Drosophila melanogaster: one gene and its partner. The protein of the gene in region 1 purifies or fractionates together with the protein of each later gene. This does not show direct contact. Each region holds a gene or a part of one and is shown on either strand. Other genes may lie near its edges. The genes, in order: CG9799 and CG8064.

Region 1 (5,470 bases):
TCCCAAAAGCACCTTAAAACACCATCCAATTCACACTAGGAGGCCCAACCAATCGAGAGATCTAAAGTTATTTCATGCAAGCTACGATATTTAGGTATAAATCAAAGAAACTTATCAGATATATGCACTATGTCTATAACGCGTGGTTGTTTGTAAACCAACATTTTTCTTTATGTTTATGTTGCGTTGGATTGTCAAAGAATCGAAAACGGAAACTGAAACTAAACTAAACTGAAATTGAAATTAGCCGCCACTAGAACCGTATCTAAAGTCCGCGCCAGCGAACACGTCTAGGAACAAGTTTAAGTTATTTAATTCCAGCATAAATAAAAGCGTTAGTTTAAACGGATATAACAAATAAATAATTAATACACAATTTCAACCCAAATGCTGTATATTCTTCTTCCCATAGTTCCAGTATCACTTGCCTTCCTCCGGCTATCTATTGATTCCATAATCGCTGCATAGTCACCCGCAGGTGTGAATCATTCGAATAATGCCAATTGGAGATATCAGGCATATGGCAGTAGTTTCGTCTTGAGTACATTATTTAAAATGCTATCTGGGATAAGTAAAAGATAAAAAGAAAGATAAGGATAGTTTGGGATATATATGGTAATGCCATTAAATCGTTAAGGATATAATGAGGGATTTTGTAGTTGTTGAGGATTATAAAGCATCCTATAAATGAATCTGCGGACCTGCCTGTCGCAAGGAATAACATCAAAAGCAAATTCAAAATGTAAAATGTTTTGTAAATTTATTTACAAAATTTCAAAATGAACTACAACATAATCTGGTGGAAACTAGTGCGCAAAGTTTCGGAGAGCGGCCACAACTCCAGTTCCATAGATGAGCTTCTCCTCCACACGCTGCCAAGCCTCCTGCTGCACCTGGGACACAGTGCGCAGCTCCTTTACCAAATCCGGGAACTCCGTCAACCCGAGACCGTGGGATCGCAAGAAGACGCTTAGATACGATTGAGCCAGCTCAAAGTTCAGATTGGTTCCAAACATGAACTTAACGAGTTTGAGGAACTGCAGCATGGCAAGGAGTGTTCCTCCAGCCTCCGGGTGCAGAGATTTGATCTCAAAGTCAACCATCGATGGTCCTAGTTGGGTCAAGTGCGCCACAGCCGATGCGAAGTCCAGGGAGTCAGCAGTTTCCTCCAGCAGCTGGCCAAAGGCAGTAAGATTGTTGAGAGTAGAAGCCTTCCGAATCCGGGATTCATCCTCCTCCTTCTGACCGTTCTCCACATCGAAGCGCAGTTCCAGTCCCGAAACCGTGGGCAGGAAGAATGGGGCCTGTTTGGGAGCTTTTGGTGGTGCCTTGGGCTTGTTACGTTGCTTGATTAGCTCCAAATCCAATAGATTCTGCCAACGGGATGCAGCCAACCCGGATAGCGTTATCAGTTCCTCGGACAGCTGCGTTGGAGTTTCGTACTTGGTGTCAACTAGCTCGCCGAGTTTTGACTCGTCCTCTTCGTCGATCTCTAGCTCCTTCATGCCATCTTCCAGTTCCATGGCATCGCACACATTCGTGGGCAATCCCACGTACGGAGCCGGCTCCAAAGGATCGATGGAGCGCAGGGAAATCTGATTAAACAGCGTCTTGTTGGCCCACAGGTAAATGCCCAAAAGTCCAACATGTGCGGTGGCCAGAAAGTCGCCATTAGGCGACATACTTAACGATACGCAAGGCGCCTCGACGCGGAAGTGATCCACCATGTAGGAGGAAGGTATGTCCCACACCTTGATCGTGGAGTCCATGGCGGCGGTGATCAGCCAGCGGCTATCCGGACTGAAAGTGAGGTCATTCAGCTTGGCTGTGTGACCGACGAACTTGCGAACAATGACCCTCGTGTGCATGTCTACGACAAAAATCTTGAATGTTTCCAGACCAATGGCCAGCATGGAGCTCTCTCGGTGCTGTCGAATCAGGGCGATTCCATCTGCCAGGCGTAGAGTCGCTAAGGGCTTGTCAACTGAAGGATGGTATGATTTTACAAATGTTTTATTAACTTATGTTGTAGGCAATTCCTTACCCTTTCCTTTGAATGACCAGAACTTGAGCAAGCCTTCCGAACAGCCAGAGATGACGGTTTGGTTAAGATTGTCGCTGGCCAAGCCGCGTACTGCCATCTTGTGGGCTGGAGAGCCATAGGTAGCCCGATGGAGTCCAGACTGGATATTAAAGCGCTCAATGTCGCCACTGCTATAGCCAATGATCACAAAGTTGCCACAGTGCGTCAGCACAATGCATGTGGTCTCGTTCTGGAAGTTGGTGCGGTTGCTGTTTTGGAACTGTTTCGGAACCAGGCGGTGCTCGCCCATACGGTTCTTGCCAAACGACCAGGTTGTCGTCTGAATAACGCCCGCATGGATGGCAGCGATGTTATCCCACTCCTTTTCGCGAGCCGTATCCGATGTGAACTCCAGTATGGGTGGCATTCCAAACTTATCGTGCTCAAAGCGATCTGCAAAGAAGAGTTGCCTATTAAAAATATTTTAAAGCGAGCAATAAAAGCCAAAACACTTACTCTTCTTCTTTGTGGCTTTTGGATTGTAGGTAGCCCTGCCCATGCTCTTGTTCAGCGATTCGGAAATGGTGGAGAAGACTCTCATGGTGCTGTCCTCGCCCGAAGAGAGAATGGATACGCCCGAGCTGCCGTGGTAGCGAATACAAAACGGCGGCTTTGTGTGTCCCTCGCGGATCCTCAGCTGTCTGGCACCACCATCTGGCATATCGAAAACAAACATCCTCATTGAATTGTCTGGTGAAGTGGTGAAGACCACGGGCTCGCTGGGCAGACAAATGGCCGTGGTCACCGACTCCTCGTGCGCTTGCAGCTGACCGGCTAACTTGCGCTCCTCCAGGTTCCAGAAGGCCATGTAACCATTGCTGCAGGCGGACACAAGGATTGGTGGGCCGTCGGTACGGAAGGAAAGGTTGGTGACCTGACCCCAATCCTGCTGGAAGCTCATAAGCACCTCGTCGAACTTAAGGTTAAGCAAGATAATAGTGCCATCCCCGTGTCCCACGGCCACGACATCCAAAGCAGGGGACGGTTCAATGCAGGTGATCCTGCTGTCGTGGTGACTCAAAGTGCACACCACACTGTTCTTCTTTATGTTCAAGATCTTTAGTTGGCCCTGCTGGGAGCCTAGTACTATTTTATTGATGTACGTGGGCGGATGGGTCACAGCTGTGATCTGGAACTCCTCAGACCGGAAGGGCACTTCCAAATAGACATCCTCGGTTGAAATATTCCACACTTTTAACACATTCTGCCTATCGATGGCTATCAAACTGGAACCAAAAGGCAGCAGGAGGTGGACATCTTTCTGGTGGCCACGGTACACGTGCCGGATGTGTTTGCCCGCCCGCCAGGCGTAGATACACTTGTTGCTCGCCGTGTACGTGTGCAGTCGATCCGTGGCCAGAGCCGTAATCTCGTCCGGATGCAATCCGCTAACGTGCAGCAGGCGAAAGTGGTTGGCGGTGTACACCTGAAAAGATCTGCCGATGCAGGTGATCAGCAAAGTGTCCCGACGACGCTGCACGTAGCGGGTGACTGCTGGAACCTGGTTGCTCACATAGCCGAGGGCTCGATTCCGCCGGAAGATGCAGCTGCTCTCCTTGAACACAGACTTCCGCTCCTCCGACTGTGGCTTATCCTCCGACCGCAGATGCGTCATTTTACTGTCCGAAATGTCTCTTTCTGTCTTTTTATCGATTTTTTAAGCTAATATAAACGATTTCCGCAACATGCCGAAAATGTTTACTGCCAAAACACGTGTGGCGAAGTGTGACCGGAGCTTGAAAACAATTCACCTAACCATGGTTAAATATACTAAATGAAATTTAGAAGGGGTATTCGTATTTTATTACACTTTGGCGCCAAATGATTATTTCAAAAATAAAATAACGATTTTCATTTAACCCAAAAAACTGCAAACTAAAAGTTACGAAATATTTATGTATGCGCTTTCAAGTAAGTTACAAATATTATTTGGAACAATTAGAAGAAAAATAGATTATTTATCAATTCTGATTATTTAGAAGCCAAAAAAAGTTTTCGTTTCATTGGAGGATTCGGGATGAAAATTTTGTTTGCCTAAATCTATTAGATTATGCAAAAAAACAACAATCGTTGAATTTGGATGCTTTTGTAGCACATTTTATTATATATTTAAACAAGCATCTCTTTATAAATAAAACTGTTGGGAACAATTTGTTAGTGTTGCGCAGCCGTAATATACATATACACCTATAATGATTAACATACACAGTTTACAAAGTTAATATGTATATATTTTGTATGTTAAATAAAATTACAACTACATATAGTCTTTCGCTTTCTTCGTAAATAAACATAAATAAAATATACGTATGTATTTAACATATGAACAGTGAAACACGCTGTCTTTGCCGTTTTCTTCGATTTATTTTTCGTCGTCTGCTCCTTTTTTTTTTTGACACTGAAATCCTTACCAGCCCCTAAAAATTTCAGTTGGGTTTTTTTTTAATGTGTTCGATGCTTATGCAATTAGCATAAAAATTGACTGCCTGGTATGTGTAGACATTTATCAAACATTTTATACAAGTTGCGAAAGTAATTAACATTCATAAGTAATTCATGTGTTGTCGCTGATGTTGTTGTTGTTGCTGTTACTGTATCTCTTGATGTTGTTGCTCTTGTTTTTGAGGCTTATTTCCGGTTTTTAATGTACGTTGTGGATATTTCTGTATTGATAACTTTTCCGGCCTTAGTTCACGCCATTCAATTCGGCGGAATTGGCCAAGGGATAATCAAGTTCACCCAGGCGAGAGGCGGGTCGGCGAGGTCGGTTAAACTAAAAGGGGAAACATTCGATAGTAAAAAGGGTTAAAATCAATCCTATTCAAATCGTTTCATTCAACCAGGAATCCCCAAACTAATTCATATTTTCATCAAGGAAAAAACTATGGTTTTAAATCGCATTAAAAGCCGCCGAAAAAGTATGCAAAATACATCCAAATAGATTTAAACTATTTTTAAGTTGGTTTTAATCTGGGTAATTTTAATCAATCACGAGTGTTTAACTGACTACTTTCATCTTTAAGTGCTGCCAAATGTAGAACGGGACATAAAGGTCACTTACCCATGATTTCATGATTTTGTAAAGCACCTGACGGGCGGGATAGTCATTAAAGTCGCCCTCGAGCGGCACCTGTTCATTTGGCGCCATCATGGGCAGTAGGCCATTCGGACGCACATAGTCCGGTTCCTGCCCCCCGGAGGCTGCCTCGCCCATTCCCCCGCCCACTCCCGTTCCAGACCCGGATCCGGGGCTCAGAGAGCGCTTGCCATGACCACCGTAGCACACATGACCGTAGGCCTGGCATCCCTCTGAAAAAGATTGAAAATATGTCAGGCAGTGTCAACCTAATTTAAAAGCACCCAAGAGCTTAAATAAAATAAATTAAA
Region 2 (5,364 bases), 4.9 Mb from region 1:
GAATAGTAGGGAATTTAATCAATTGTAAAAAGCAGAAAGCCGGTAGCCCCGAGTCCTGTTCGAAGTCATAGCCAACATCCAATCTAATCCAATCCTAAACATTTATCCGGCATCCACAAAGCGGCGCAGCGGCAGTTAAATTGCGAAACCAAACCTATAGTATCAGTTCATTTATAGCCATTTTTAATGTTCTAATCTACTCTGAAATTGTTTTATTCCGAAAATCCAAATTGAAACGGTTTGATTTATGGCCGCCTTAAACAACAAATTATTAATTACAAATAGTAGAACTGTTACGCTGTGCAAGAAATGGAACATTGCGAAACATAAACTAATAATATTTGAATTAAAAACGAAAAAACAAAGAAAAACAAACGGATATTAGTTATTATTTATCTACCAACAAATCTATCCAACTAAATGAAAAAGTAAAAAAAAAAAATAAAAAACATAACGATATATTAATGAAATCTACAACTCATACACATAAAATAGGAGTTTAGCGAACACTAATATTTAAGGCAAAAGGATATATAATAATAATGATCAAAAGGCGAGATGTGAGGTTAGCTAGCGAGTAAGCAAAATCAAATCCATGAGTTTTCGCCAGATATATCTGCGCCCCATCCCCCCAAGTGTTCCTTTTCAGCGTTTCGTGTCATGTCTTTTGTTTTTATTATACACCTGCGTTATATTTTGATGGTTTTCCATATAGCAATATCCAAATCATTTTCCAAACGCCCCATTTTCTTTTTTGCTGTCCATGCATTCAGTTTTCCCTTTTCAGTTTAGTTGTAGTCTAATTCGAACCAAACAAAAAACAATGGATGTGTAAAAAGTGATGAGACTATTGATTTTTGTAATGAGTTGAACTCCAATAAATGGCGTTGATTAACCCGAATGCAAAACAGCACACGTTCCAAGGCTTTTTCACTTTTTGATAGTAAAATTCATGCTACAATTTATTATTAAATGCAGAAACTCGTACATAATTGTGTGTAAGCGGAAAACCGCCATCGAATTTGGCATCGTTTACAGCTCCTCGTGGCGCGAAGGGAACTTCTTGAGTATGGCATGGTAGAGACTGTAGAAGGCGTACACCGAAACCGTGATGATCACCAGCAGAGCTCCGCCGAACGCGATGCTCAGGAAGTTTCCATCGATGATGCCCGCCGAGCGGTGGCGCTTGGTGGAGAATATCTCCTCCGTGGTCGCCGGGTTGTTTTGCTGCTGGGACGTCCGCTCGGCCATCAGCCGCTTCATGGTGCTCAGCCGCTCCCGCAGAACTTCCACGGACTCGGTGTCCAGGTCAGAGGTTCCTAGAGCGATTTTGTTTACTTTCTGTTCTCATTAAAATGAATATATGTTATTAATACCTGTCGACTGGGATGCGGAAGCACTGGGATAGGTAGACATATTTGGATCTCTGTTCTGTGCTATTTGTGAAAAAACTGCAGCTTGAGCTGGCCAAAAACAGAGTTATCTTAAACGTTTTGGGGTGGGTTTGTTAGATTTTCGAGTTTTAAAAGCGCAGGCGCGTAACGGAAATCGCGCGGCGTTGCCACCCAATCGCGCTGCCAACTGCTTTGATTTGCGAAGAACAAATCGATAGAAACGGCTGGCAATCGATTGGGAACCATCTCCAAACACGTGAAACGCGATTTTTGATTTACCTTATGTGTTTTGAATGCTGCAATGGGTTTAACTAAACAATATTTGGCCTACCGGGCTATAGACAGCTTTAATATCATCACCTCCGGCCGCGCCAATGTGAACTTTGCCGTTGTGGACAAGACAGAGGGTCGATATGTGGCCGCTCCAGCTGCTGAAAATGTGATCGTGTGGGATTTGCGGTAAGGCTATTTAAGCTTTTCCTTTACTTCGTTTTTAAACTGACATGAATTTATATTTCCCCAGAATGGGCGATCGCAAGCTGACGCTGCGCCGCGAAAAGTTCGAGGTCACCTCCCTGAGGGTCTCGCCAGATCACCTGCACATTGCCGTTGGCTATGCGGATGGCATGGTGCAGATCTTCGATCTCAGCTCGGACAGGTACTACGATCCCATCTGTACGCTGGCACTCCACAAGAACGCTGTTAGCATCCTGCGGTACGATTTGCAGGGCATGCGTCTGGTGAGCGGAGGCCTGGACACCGAATTGGTGGTCGTCGATGTGGTGGAGCAGGCGGGAAGAGCTCGATTGAGTGGCCACAATGCCGCCATCACGGACGCCCATTTCCTGCAGCGTCTGGTAGACGAGAGCATAGTGGTAAGCTGTTCGAAGGACACGCAGATCAAGTTCTGGAACCTGGAGACGCAGTTCTGCTTCAAGACAATCGTGGATAACCGCACCGAAGTCTGGGCACTGGCCTTTATTGGGAATCTAATGGTAGCTGGCGCCGGCGAAAGCGGCATGAATGTCTACCGCCTGAGAAAGCACGACGGTGCCATCACTGAAACTCTGGAGTCTGCAGTTGAAGGCCTGTCTATTGATGACGAGGACACCATCAGCCCCATTAGCGTGAGCAACTGCGGCACCATCCAGCGCGCTGGAAAGGGCCGCACCGTCAACCTGGTGACCGATCCCAGTGAACGCGTGATCAGCTGCCACGGCACTAATGATCTAATCGAGAACTTCTACATCTGCACGCCGGACGAGGTAAAGAAACGACTGGCTAAGCGTCTAAAGAAGGAGAAAAAGGTCGCCGAAGATGAGGGATCAGACGAAGCAAAACTGTCCACGGAACAATCGCTGAGCGATGAAATCAAGCGACTGGAAAGCATTCGTGCCAAGCAAAAGATCAAGTCCATAGATGTGGTTTTGGGCCAGAACCAGGAGCTGCGTGTCCTTGTTAGTTTGGCCAACAACAGTCTGTGCTTGTACTCGCTGGAGGCGTCTATCAAAACGCGCAAAGCAACCGATCCCAGCGCGAAACTACTTAGGTCACTTACTCGTCTGGGGCACCAGTCCGAAGTGCGATCCGTATGCTTCAGCAACGATTCCCTGGCCATTGGTTCCGGAGCTGGAGAATCCTTTAAGTTCTGGGATCGAGATGCCATGCAGTGCCTGCGTACTGTGCCAACGGACTACATCCTCTGTTCGAAGTTTGTTCCCGGCGATCGCTACGTCCTTCTGGGCATGAAGAGTGGCAAATTGCTCATTGTGGACGTGGCAGCGGCTGATATAGTGGAGGAGATTCCGGCTCACGAAGGCGAACTTTGGTCCATTGCCATACTGCCCGATCAAAAGGGTTGCGTCACTGGCAGCGGCGATACCACGGTTAAGATCTGGACATTCGAGCTGATCGATGCCGGCGAGGGTGCTGCCCAAACCAAGGTGCTGTCCCTGCTGCACAAAAACACACTGAAGCTGGAGGAGACCGTGCTCTGTTTGGCCGTTAGTCCGGACATGAAGTACCTGGCTGTGGGCTTGTTGGACGCCACCGTGAAGGTTTTCTTCCTGGACACCTTTAAGTTCTACCTATCACTGTACGGCCACAAGTTACCTGTGATCTGCCTGGACATCTCCTACGACTCCAATCTCATTGTAACAGGATCAGCAGATCGTAACGTAAAAGTTTGGGGCTTAAATTTCGGAGACTGTCATCGTTCCATTTTTGCACACGACGATTCGGTAATGAGTGTACAGTTTATACCCAGGACGCACATGTTCTTCACGTGTGGAAAGGATGGAAAGGTGAAGCAGTGGGATGGCGATAACTTCGAGAAGATTCTTACCTTACCTGGACACATAGGCGAAGCGTATTGTCTGTCCGTTTCTCCGAATGGCCGATATTTGGTCACCTGCGGATCAGATCGAACTCTTAGAATGTTCGAGCGAACAGATGAGACTATTGTGTTGAAGGATGTGCAGGAGGAGGAGCGAGAGCAAATGGAGAATGAGCAACTGGCCACGGGCGAGGACAACACAGTTCCCTTGCTTCCGGGTCTGAAGATGCCGTCACGCAAAACAGTGGGTTCCGAGCAGTCTGCTGAATCGATACTCGAATGTCTGGAGATATCCAAACAGTTCGAGCTCGAGGCGGAGGAGAAACCCGAGTTACATCCTCTGATGCAGGCTTTGCAGGTTAAGAATCCCGAAGACTTCCTGGTCAGCACCCTGATGAGGATACGTGCGTCCGATCTGGAGGAGGCACTTCTTCTACTCCCCTTCTCCACTGTGTGCGAAGTCCTCGAACGCCTGCCCACTCTGCTGACCCAGCGACCCGACCAACTGGAGCTGCTTTGCCGCGTCACCATCTTCCTGTTCAAGGTGCACATGAAGCCCATTTCGGCGGCTAAGAACATGAAGCCGCTGCTCGTCAAGCTGCTCTCGATGCTCAAGCGGGACGTTGGTCAGCTGCGCGATGTCTTAGGATGGAACCTGCACGGTCTGGCCCTGCTGCAAACGGAAGTGGAGCAGCGCGATGGTGTCCAGCTCTTCAGGGAGGCCACACAGACCCGCAAGAAACGGGATAAGAAGCGGAGAGAAGCCAGCAAGCGGAGGCTGCAGATTCAAATGGTTTGAGACGCAATACCCTAGACTTAGTTGTATAAATCCAATTAAAACGATTAGTTATTCCGTGATTTACTGGATTTCTATATTTCTGTGAACAGAGTTTAATTTGACAATGAGGAATACACCATAATTCATAAGCCATGTATTGGATCACCGGCAATTTTCTGTATATGCATATGGGATTGACAAAATCGGATAAAAGCGATGGTGCAGCGAAGCAAACGGATAGCGCCGCTCGATTAATGGATGCAGTTCGCAAAGCGAACCCTTTGACAAGCATTTACAACAGAAAACAACATATCTCTTTAGAAGACGTGGACTGAAAGATTTAGCTTGAACATAAAACGTAGAACTCGGGATGAGCTTGGGAGACGGATTCTTCAGAGCAACCATAATGTATTTCCAGGCTAACAAATGCCGGCTTTGGGAAAGGTGCCATCGTTAGCGCCAGTTCCACAAGGACCTGTTTGGGATTATGCATTTTTTTTTATAAATGCTAGGAAGTAAATCTGGTGATAACCTACCTCCGCAGCGCTGGAAGGCACCTGGCGGTCCGTAGCTAAGTTTCTGGATGGTACACTTCTCAATAGGTCCGGTTGGCCGGCAGTAGGATGTGTACCTGGCCCACGGCAGTGGCTCCTTGGGCGGCACACAGTTCGGCAAGTAGCTGAGTTTGTATGTGGTGCACTTTTCCATGGGTCCCTCGTTCCGGCAGAATCCCTGTCGTGGTCGGACGGACTCGGCGCGTGGGAAACAGGTGACATCCACCGGCATGTACGACAACTTGTTCACCGTGCAGCGCTCCATGGCTCCAGTGGGCCGGCAGAAGGCCGTTCTCGGCATGA

What was found.
Region 2: the proteins of CG9799 (region 1) and CG8064 purify together in Drosophila melanogaster (affinity purification with mass spectrometry, with the first as the bait; 2 studies listed by BioGRID). This does not show direct contact.

The regions. Positions count from the first base shown.
Region 1 is NT_033777.3:13,384,904-13,390,373, forward strand, and holds CG9799 (uncharacterized protein), read right to left. Parts: upstream 3,807-5,470; 5' UTR 3,699-3,806; coding exon 2,540-3,698; intron 2,477-2,539; coding exon 2,045-2,476; intron 1,985-2,044; coding exon 807-1,984; 3' UTR 745-806; downstream 1-744. Other genes in the region: CCHa2 (CCHamide-2), read right to left, coding at 4,770-4,856, 5,145-5,392.
Region 2 is NT_033777.3:18,282,039-18,287,402, forward strand, and holds CG8064 (uncharacterized protein), read left to right. Parts: upstream 1-1,621; 5' UTR 1,622-1,695; coding exon 1,696-1,853; intron 1,854-1,917; coding exon 1,918-4,528; 3' UTR 4,529-4,586; downstream 4,587-5,364. Other genes in the region: CG14312 (uncharacterized protein), read right to left, coding at 1,033-1,319, 1,377-1,416; CG7131 (uncharacterized protein), read right to left, coding at 4,927-4,982, 5,044-5,364.